Ovis aries: one gene and its partner. The protein of the gene in region 2 purifies or fractionates together with the protein of the main gene of each other region. This does not show direct contact. Links are inferred from orthologs where the notes say so. Each region holds a gene or a part of one and is shown on either strand. Other genes may lie near its edges.

Evidence for each region. The genes of interacting proteins can lie anywhere in the genome.
Region 1: the proteins of CCND1 (region 2) and cyclin-dependent kinase inhibitor 2A purify together in Homo sapiens (affinity purification with western blotting; 3 studies listed by BioGRID and IntAct, with this or other methods). This does not show direct contact. The link is inferred for Ovis aries from reciprocal best matches to the Homo sapiens genes CCND1 and CDKN2A.

Annotation. Positions count from the first base shown.
Region 1 is NC_056055.1:90,755,893-90,759,859, forward strand, and holds the start of cyclin-dependent kinase inhibitor 2A, read right to left. Parts: upstream 2,809-3,967; 5' UTR 2,480-2,808; coding exon 2,354-2,479; intron 1-2,353. UniProt on the Homo sapiens protein: Acts as a negative regulator of the proliferation of normal cells by interacting strongly with CDK4 and CDK6. This inhibits their ability to interact with cyclins D and to phosphorylate the retinoblastoma protein.
Region 2 is NC_056074.1:43,280,880-43,284,933, reverse strand, and holds the start of CCND1 (G1/S-specific cyclin-D1), read right to left. Parts: upstream 2,810-4,054; 5' UTR 2,650-2,809; coding exon 2,452-2,649; intron 866-2,451; coding exon 650-865; intron 144-649; coding exon 1-143. UniProt on the Homo sapiens protein: Regulatory component of the cyclin D1-CDK4 (DC) complex that phosphorylates and inhibits members of the retinoblastoma (RB) protein family including RB1 and regulates the cell-cycle during G(1)/S transition.

The DNA of each region.
Region 1 (3,967 bases), on a different chromosome or scaffold from region 2:
CAACCTTGTGGACCCATTTTAGAATTCTGATTTACAGAACCATAAGATAATAAATTTATGTTGATACTAAATTTGTGGTAATTTGTTATAGCAGAAATAGGAAGACACCTTCCAAGATCACACTCAGACTTCATTAAAGAGGAGGTGCTCACTTCATTTGGTTCCTAAATAATCTTTGATGATACAAGAGCATTACCAAAGAGGAATTTTGAAATATTGTTCACAATCACAGCAACTTTGCAATTTGAGTGTTATACATTGGGTGGAGGTGATAGAACATTCTTTTTTAGGGTAACCATTATTTGGTTACATTAGCTACACTATATTGAGGAATTATTTATTTTTAGTTGAGTTCTGTATTAAACTTGAATTAATTTGTTCAAACCAAGGAATCTTAACAAGTTATACTATGCTTGTTGAGTTCTATCCTAGAGAAAGTGAAACTGATTTAATTAAAAAAAAAAAAAAAACCACAGAGAAAATTTAAGTGAACCAACTTGCAGCTACAAAAAGGAAAACTAACAGTGCATTAGAAGAAAGAATTTTTTAAAATAAAAACTGGGGAAATTTACACTATTGGATTTCTCATGGATTATGAATTAATTTCCAAAACAAAGGGGCCACACCCAAGGACACCATAATCTTTTGGAAACTCTACTATAAGTGCCAGAGCTCATATATATATATGTATGTCTCCTTCCATGCTTGTATATAATGCAGGTGAAAATATATTACATGGGTTGGATAAATGAAGTCCTTGGTCTTAGTCATTAAATTGGTTAAAGGTATTATTATATGCTACAGTATTAAAGTATGAAAAGTAACATAATATTTAAATCATAGTAGCAATCCAAAGCAAAAAGAAAATCATTCAAATGAATATTTCTAGGGTACTTAAGTCAAACTGAAGATATAAATTTAATTTAGTCATTAAAATTTTTCTATAAACTAAGTATTTTTAAACACAAATTTGGTTAGGGTTCAAAACTAAAATCATATCCCTTTTGTCGATGCCCTTATCCTATTTAAAAATAATTTAAAATTAATTATCTTTCTTTTTGTATTTAAACAATAAAGTCTAATATAACATCTTTCAGAACTAGAAGGCTGTAACACCCAGTCTGCAAACTGCTGGCAAAACTTTAGAGATATCCAATTATGAATCATGCATGCATTTTTTAAAAAAAGAACTCATGCTTCTCTTCTACAACCATTCAACCTTTTAATCTCCAAATCTCTCCACATTTCAAATCCCAAATAATCTCAGATTTGAGGATATTTTATTTTTATTTTTGTATCTAAAAGTATATAAAATATATCTGTTCTATGTAGCATAGTTTGAGGAAAGGACGATTCGCTTGTGAAATCACTTGTTAAGTTCCAGGTTGAGTTACTTTTCCTTTGTCTTGTTATGCTGGAGTTTTTGCAGTGTACATTTCATATAAATATTATTTTTCAGAATCAGAAATCGTTGTCGAAACCTGGAATAAAACTGGAGTGACTGCCAGGAAGAATTTATTTTTAGCCCCAGATTTAGGAAGTTAGTGAAGGCAAAACACACACACACACACACACACACACACACACAGAAAAACGAACTCACAACTCATCCTCACACATACAAAACTGGAGTGGGGAGAGGAGAAATGACATTTTTTAAACTATGAGGAACTGAAAACTTCCCAGGAAATTAATGTATACCAAGTAAGTTTAAAATACCCCAAAAGGTAAGAGACACTCAAGTGGTAACTAAATTGGCAGCATTATTTCAGGCATAATTGCACTAATTTTTTTTTTCATGTATGTCTATTTCCTAAACAAGCATATATGTTCCTTACTCGGTTAAAAAAAAATAATAAACACGATATATGGTTGCTTCTGAATAATTTCAATCGACCTTTATTCCAACTTACACAGCAGTAGATTTCCACTGAAATCTCCCTCTCACCGCCCCTCCCCCCCCAACAAAGAAGTCGATCAGCTCCATTCACAATTTTATAAGTTCGGGAGTAAGTGGTCCAGCATGTCTTACTGTCTTTATACTCGTACTCCAGACGTTCGTCAATTTCGCATATCGGTCTATATTAACACACGTAGGTTCTCCCTTCTAGATCTTCACACCGTTTTAGAGATCTGAACCCCACGCGCCTTCTCAGCCAGCTCCGCGGCCGTCCTGAGCCCCCTGAGAGTCGCCGAGAGGTCTCCGATCCCGAACTCGGTCTGAAAAGTCTCCCCTTTACCAAGAAACGCTTACCTGGTTCCGACTCACTGGCGGACCTCGTCCTCCAAAGCCTCTCGCCATCCACCCACCCACCCAGCCGCCCACCTTTCCGCGGCAGACCTGCTGACCCACCTGAATCGCGCTTCGACCGTAACGGTTCGGCGCGTTGGCCAACGCTCCAGCCTCGAGCAGTGCCCGTACCTCGTCAGCCCGGCCCCGCGCGGCGGCGGCGGCCAGCAAGTCAGCCGAGGTCTCCATGCTGCTCCCCAAAGCTCGCCCCTCGCTCCCTCCCTTCCTCCCGCCTGCGTCGAGCGCGGGCGGCCCGCCCAGGCTGCTCCTGAGCAGCCCGCCCCTCCTCTTTCCTCCTACGGGGCTGGCGGAAGCGGCCCCCAGACTCGGCCCCTCGACTCCTCCCGAGGAGTCTTTCCACCCGGGGAGCGCCCTCCACGCGCTCTTCCAGGAGGCGCCCTTTGCTCCTAACGAACAAGACGTCTATGAAGTAGCCCCCGCCGGGCCTCCTCGGTCACAGGTCTGCCGCCCACGCGACCCGAGGCACCGGCCGGAAGCTGTCCGCTCCGGTAGCGCGACGGGACCGCGAAAGGAGGGCGCCCTGGGACCTCCTCCCCGCCCCCCGCCCCGCGTCCGCGCGCAGCGCGCCCCCACCCCCATCAGAGGCGCACGCGCGGCTCCGAGCGAGTTCACTCCAGCCAAGTGAAAATTCCTCGCGTATACACCCTGAGTGGCGTGAGACAACTGCATAGGATTCCTAACTGCCAAGTTCGAACCAGTGTGTTTGGAGTCATAGGCAAAGTTATTGCTTCCTCTTTTAATCAGAAGAAACAGCCAGCTTGTCCTGGCCCCGAGCGCCCAGGATAGGTATCAGCCATTCCACCATGAGGCTTTCCTTCTTGGAGAGGATACACTCCCCCTCCAACGCTCAGCACCAGGTTTTCGAGCGCTGGCTCGATTATGCCAGAAATTCTAGCTCAAACGTCCCTTCTGGAGAACTGGCTCACGCGCCAGGCTGTGCCTCCCTCCCTCCACACACATGTAAAACGGATGTCGGGGGAGAGCGTTTCCTAGGCTTGCACAATGCCTGGTACTAGTGCCCAGTATACGGGCTGGCTCCGAGCAGATGAGGTCAATTTAAAAGGGATGGTGGAGATTTCTACCTGTACGCAGATAGGAAAGTGGCAAGGGTATCCTTGGGCTTAGTAGGCTCTGTTCTCAATAATTTCTCCTACACCAGAAAACATGCTCATTGCTCTAGGGACAGGGCTGCATTCGGAGATGATTCAGAAAGCAGGCTCACACACTGTCTTGGTGCCACTTCTGTCCACCTTTCCTTCCTGTTAGAAAAACCTTACACTTTTCTTAGTTATAAAATGGAGGGGGGAATAAGAGGTGTCCCTACTTCCTAGGACTGTTTTGAGTTTTAAATGAATTGATACACACATAAGCATTTAGAACAGTATCACACATCCTAAGCTCATGCCTGTTAGCTCTTAACATCCATTTTGAAGATTTTCTTGCAATCTAGGAGACAGAGAAGGAAATGGTTTAGGTAGAATTATCAATATTACATATAAAAGGGCAGGCAAGAAAACCTTAATCACTGAAACAATGATGGACATCTTCCAGTGACCGACATATTTAATGAAAAGTTAATGTTTAATCTGTCTGCTAGATAACCCAGCTCTGTTTTAAAAGTTATATTTCAATTCCTACTTGACTCCTCTTGAAGAC
Region 2 (4,054 bases):
ACGAAGGTCTGCGCGTGTTTGCGGATGATCTGCTTGTTCTCCTCGGCCACCGGCATTTTGGAGAGGAAGTGCTCGATGAAGTCGTGCGGGGTCATGGCCGCCAGGTTCCACTTGAGTTTGTTCACCAGGACCAGCTCCATGTGCTGCGGACCCGGGGGAAACGCGTGTCGAGAGGCGCAGGCGCGGACCCCAGTGGAGCAGGGGTCGGAGAGAGGGGATGGGGGTCGCTGGAGGGTCCGGGAAGTGAGGGGGAGAGCGCGCGACCCCACATTCCGTGCAGGGACGGTGCTGCTCGCCAAGGGTCCTACCCTAAACTCAGCCCACCCTGGGCCGGCGGAGACCAGGGGCCCGCCCACACCTGGAACGCGGAGCCGGGTCAACCGCGCGGGCGCCGCCCCGCCGCCGCCGCTGGAGGGCGCGCGCCCCCCACTTTTCGCAACGCTGGGGGCGCAGAGGTGGTGGGAGTCAGAGGGAAAGCGAGGGGGGCGGCGGCGCGGCTGCGGGGCGGCGCGGGGCCCCGCCCGTGCGGCCGCCTTCCTTGGGGGCGAGGGTCTCTCGGCGGCCCGCCGGGGACCCCCGCGCCTCCCCCACCCCGGGGTCCCGCGGCTAACTGGGCGTTCAGGGGCCGTGGCGGGGGTCCCAGGGTTACCAGCAGCTCGTCGGGCCGGATGGAGTTGTCAGTGTAGACGCACAGCTTCTCGGCCGTCAGGGGGATGGTCTCCTTCATCTTCGAGGCCACGAACATGCAGGTGGCCCCCAGCAGCTGCAGGCGGCTCTTTTTCACGGGCTCCAGCGACAGGAAGCGGTCCAGGTAGTTCATGGCCAGCGGGAAGACCTCCTCCTCGCACTTCTGCTCCTCGCAGACCTGCCGGGGGGCACCGGGGGCCGTGACCGCCGCCGCCGCCGCCGCCGCCGGGAGCGCCCGGCCCCTCTGCGGAGACCTCGCGCCCCCCGACCCGGCTCGCGCCAGGGCGGCTGGACTGCGAGGTCTCTGAGCGCGCGGAGGGTCGGGGCAAGGGGCAGCAGAAGCCGCCGCCGCCGCGCCCCTCTTCCCCGGGAGTCCCCAATACTCACCCACCCCGAAACTGAAAGGGAAAGTCCCAGCTAGGCTGGCACAGTGGGGGCGGGAGCGGGCACAGCTGGGCGGCGTGTGTCGCGCGCGGGCTGTGGGTCCCAGGGACCCCGGCCCGCGTGGGTGCTTCGGGAGCCGCCAGACCTGGGGTCGGCAAAAAATGGGGCGCAGGGCCGCGGGGAGGGCCGCGGGGCTGGGCGCCGCGCTCGCAGCGCCTGCGAGACACAAAGGTGGCGTCCCAGGCCGCCGCGCCGCATTTCCCCAGACGTCATCTTTTCAAAAAATATTTAAAAATATAAAAAAATTAAGTGGGTACATAAAAATGCCCTGAAAATGACCCTCAGACTGTCCTTTACCCAGGCCGGGAGTCGGGAGCTCGTTGCGGGCTCAGGGGAGAGCCCCAGGAATTCAAACTCGGGGGCCCCCCTTCCCCCTGGGCGCGGGCGCCGTTTCCTTCTCGCAAGGGCACCACGCCGCACTTTCAAAAATTATTTTAAAATACTTGCGGTGCCCCGGGGAGCCCTCTGAAGGCCTGAAAACGTGCCCCTGGCCCCCAGCTCGCTCCAGACAGGTCCCCCAAGCTGAGATCCCGGCAGATGAGGGTCCATTCCTAGCGTCTTGGGGGCCACGCGACCTTGCAGCCCGGCGTGCTCTCTGGCCCAAGCTGGCCTTGCGGGACGCCCCGGGACCCACTGCTTGAACAAAGGGGCCCCCTTTCCCGAGAGGGGTCCCCCCACAACTACCCGAGCTCTGTCCCCGCGCCCCTCCCGCTGGGTCCCGGTGGCGGCGCGGCCCCTCGCGGCGGCCCCAAGCGCCTGGCCGGCCGCTCCCCGCCCCCACCCTGCCCCCAATTATTAATAAACACTTTTGCTTTGCAATAAAAGAACAAAGATGGCGCATAATACTGGCACGAGCGGCCCTTGCATACGTGTCCATGGATATTAATTTAAAAATCAAATCTATGCCCCCTCCCCCTGGAGCTGGCGGCTCAGCAGCCGCGCGGCCGCAAGAGGAGGCGCAGCGGGGCTGCGCGGTGGAGGTCCCGGCGGGGGCCACAAAGGACGCCCAGCCTGCGGGCCCGCACCCTGAAGCCAACTGGGGTGCCCGGGCAGTGGCTTTCCCCTAGGGTACCCCTCCTCGACCGCCGCCGCCCCCACCCACCCACGAAAGGAATTATCTAATGACCCCACCCCCACTCCCTCCTTGTTCAAAAAAATACCCTGAATATCTATATATTTTGGAACTACGATTCCTAGCAACACTCTGGCAAACTTCAAAGTTTGGGTGGGAGAGAAGGGAGGGTGATGAGTGGCAAAGAAAAGTGGGTTTGCGCAACAAGTCGCAGGAAAGTGCTAAGAGAGCCGCCCGGAGCCCCGCACCTCCAGCATCCAGGTGGCCACGATCTTCCGCATGGACGGCAGGATCTCCTTCTGCACACACTTGAAGTAGGACACCGAGGGCGCGCAGGTCTCCTCCGCCTTGAGCATGGCCCGCAGCACTCGGTCGTTGAGGAGGTTGGCATCGGGGTACGCCCGGCGAATGGTTTCCATCTCGCAGCACAGGAGCTGGTGTGCCATGGTTGGGGGCTCGGCTAGGTGGCCGGGGGGCGGCGATGGGTCCGGGGCTGGGTCGGCTCTCGACTCGGGCTCCTGCTGCCCCGCGCTCCCTCGAGCTCGTCTGCCCCTCGCCGGAGCGCGCGGACGCTGCTGCTCGCTGCTACTGCGCCGACAGCCCTCTGGAGGCTCTAGGACTTTGCAACTTCCAACAAAACTCCCCTGTAGTCCGTGTGACGTTACTGTTGTTAAGCAGAGATCAAAGCCGGGCAGAGAATGGGAGCGGGAAGGAGGGGGGCCGGGCGCAGGGGGAGGGGGCGCGGGCGCCGAGCGTCGGGGAGCGGCGAGGGGCAGAGCCCAAAAGCCATCCCGGAGGCGCCGCGCCTGCACCGCGCGGTGTTGCCCCCGAAGCCGGGTTTTCATAGAAATGCAAACCGTCCTAAGGCTGCCTTTCTCCCCGCCGAGGAAGAGGGGTGCAGGAGCGGGGGTTGGGGGGGGGGTCTGTCCTCCCCGAGCGGGTCCCGCAGGATTTGGGGGGTTGGGTGACGGTGGCTCTGCAGAGGGGGACAACTAGGAGGGCGGGCAGGCCACACGCAGCTGGGGGAGACCGTGTGGAGGGGGACGCTGGGGTTCGGTGACACTCTGAGCCGGGAGAATGGGCGCATTTCCGAGAACGCCACGAGGGCACCCACGGGCGGAGGCAGCCAAGGGATCTTAGCGTCTACGTCTTCTTTCATTTTCATTAACACGTGTAAATTTCAGGAACCATTTACCATTCAGGGACTCAGGGCAGAGCCGACAACCCCGGTGGAGGTTTCATTCCCGCACCGAGGGGGGTCTGTGCAAATGCCGGAGGGGTAACCCCCAAAGTTAAAGGGCTTTCAGCCTAACACGCGCTCGCTCAAAAAATAAAATAAAATAAATGCCCGAAAATTCCAGCAGCAGCCCAAGATGGTGGCCAGCATTTCCTTCGCCCTGTCCTCTTCGCCTGGGGGATCTGCGCACTGTCTTCCTACCTTAGCTAGTCCATTCTTGCGGGGGGCCCCCAACACTTCCCCCCCGCCCCCGCCCTGTGCCGGCAATTTAACAGCTAGAAAAACACTCTGAAAGGAAGGCTGCAAAACAGTGGTCTCTGTCCTGTCTCGTTTTTTTAATTAAAAATTAAGCTAAATCGCTGGAAATATTGGTCGCCTCCCCGCCTGGGAGAAGACCACCGGAAACTTCCTAATTGGCTTTGTTGGGGGTGTGGACCTCTCTTCACCTTTAGAATTTGCCCGGGGGCTGCATTCGAGAGCCTGAGGCGGTTGGCGGGGGTCTGGCAACAATCAGAACAATTACAAGTTAAAGAAATAGGTGTATTGATCTGATGATTTTAAACAAAACCTATATATATTCGTGGCTATACGCGAGTCCCCAATATTAATCGCAA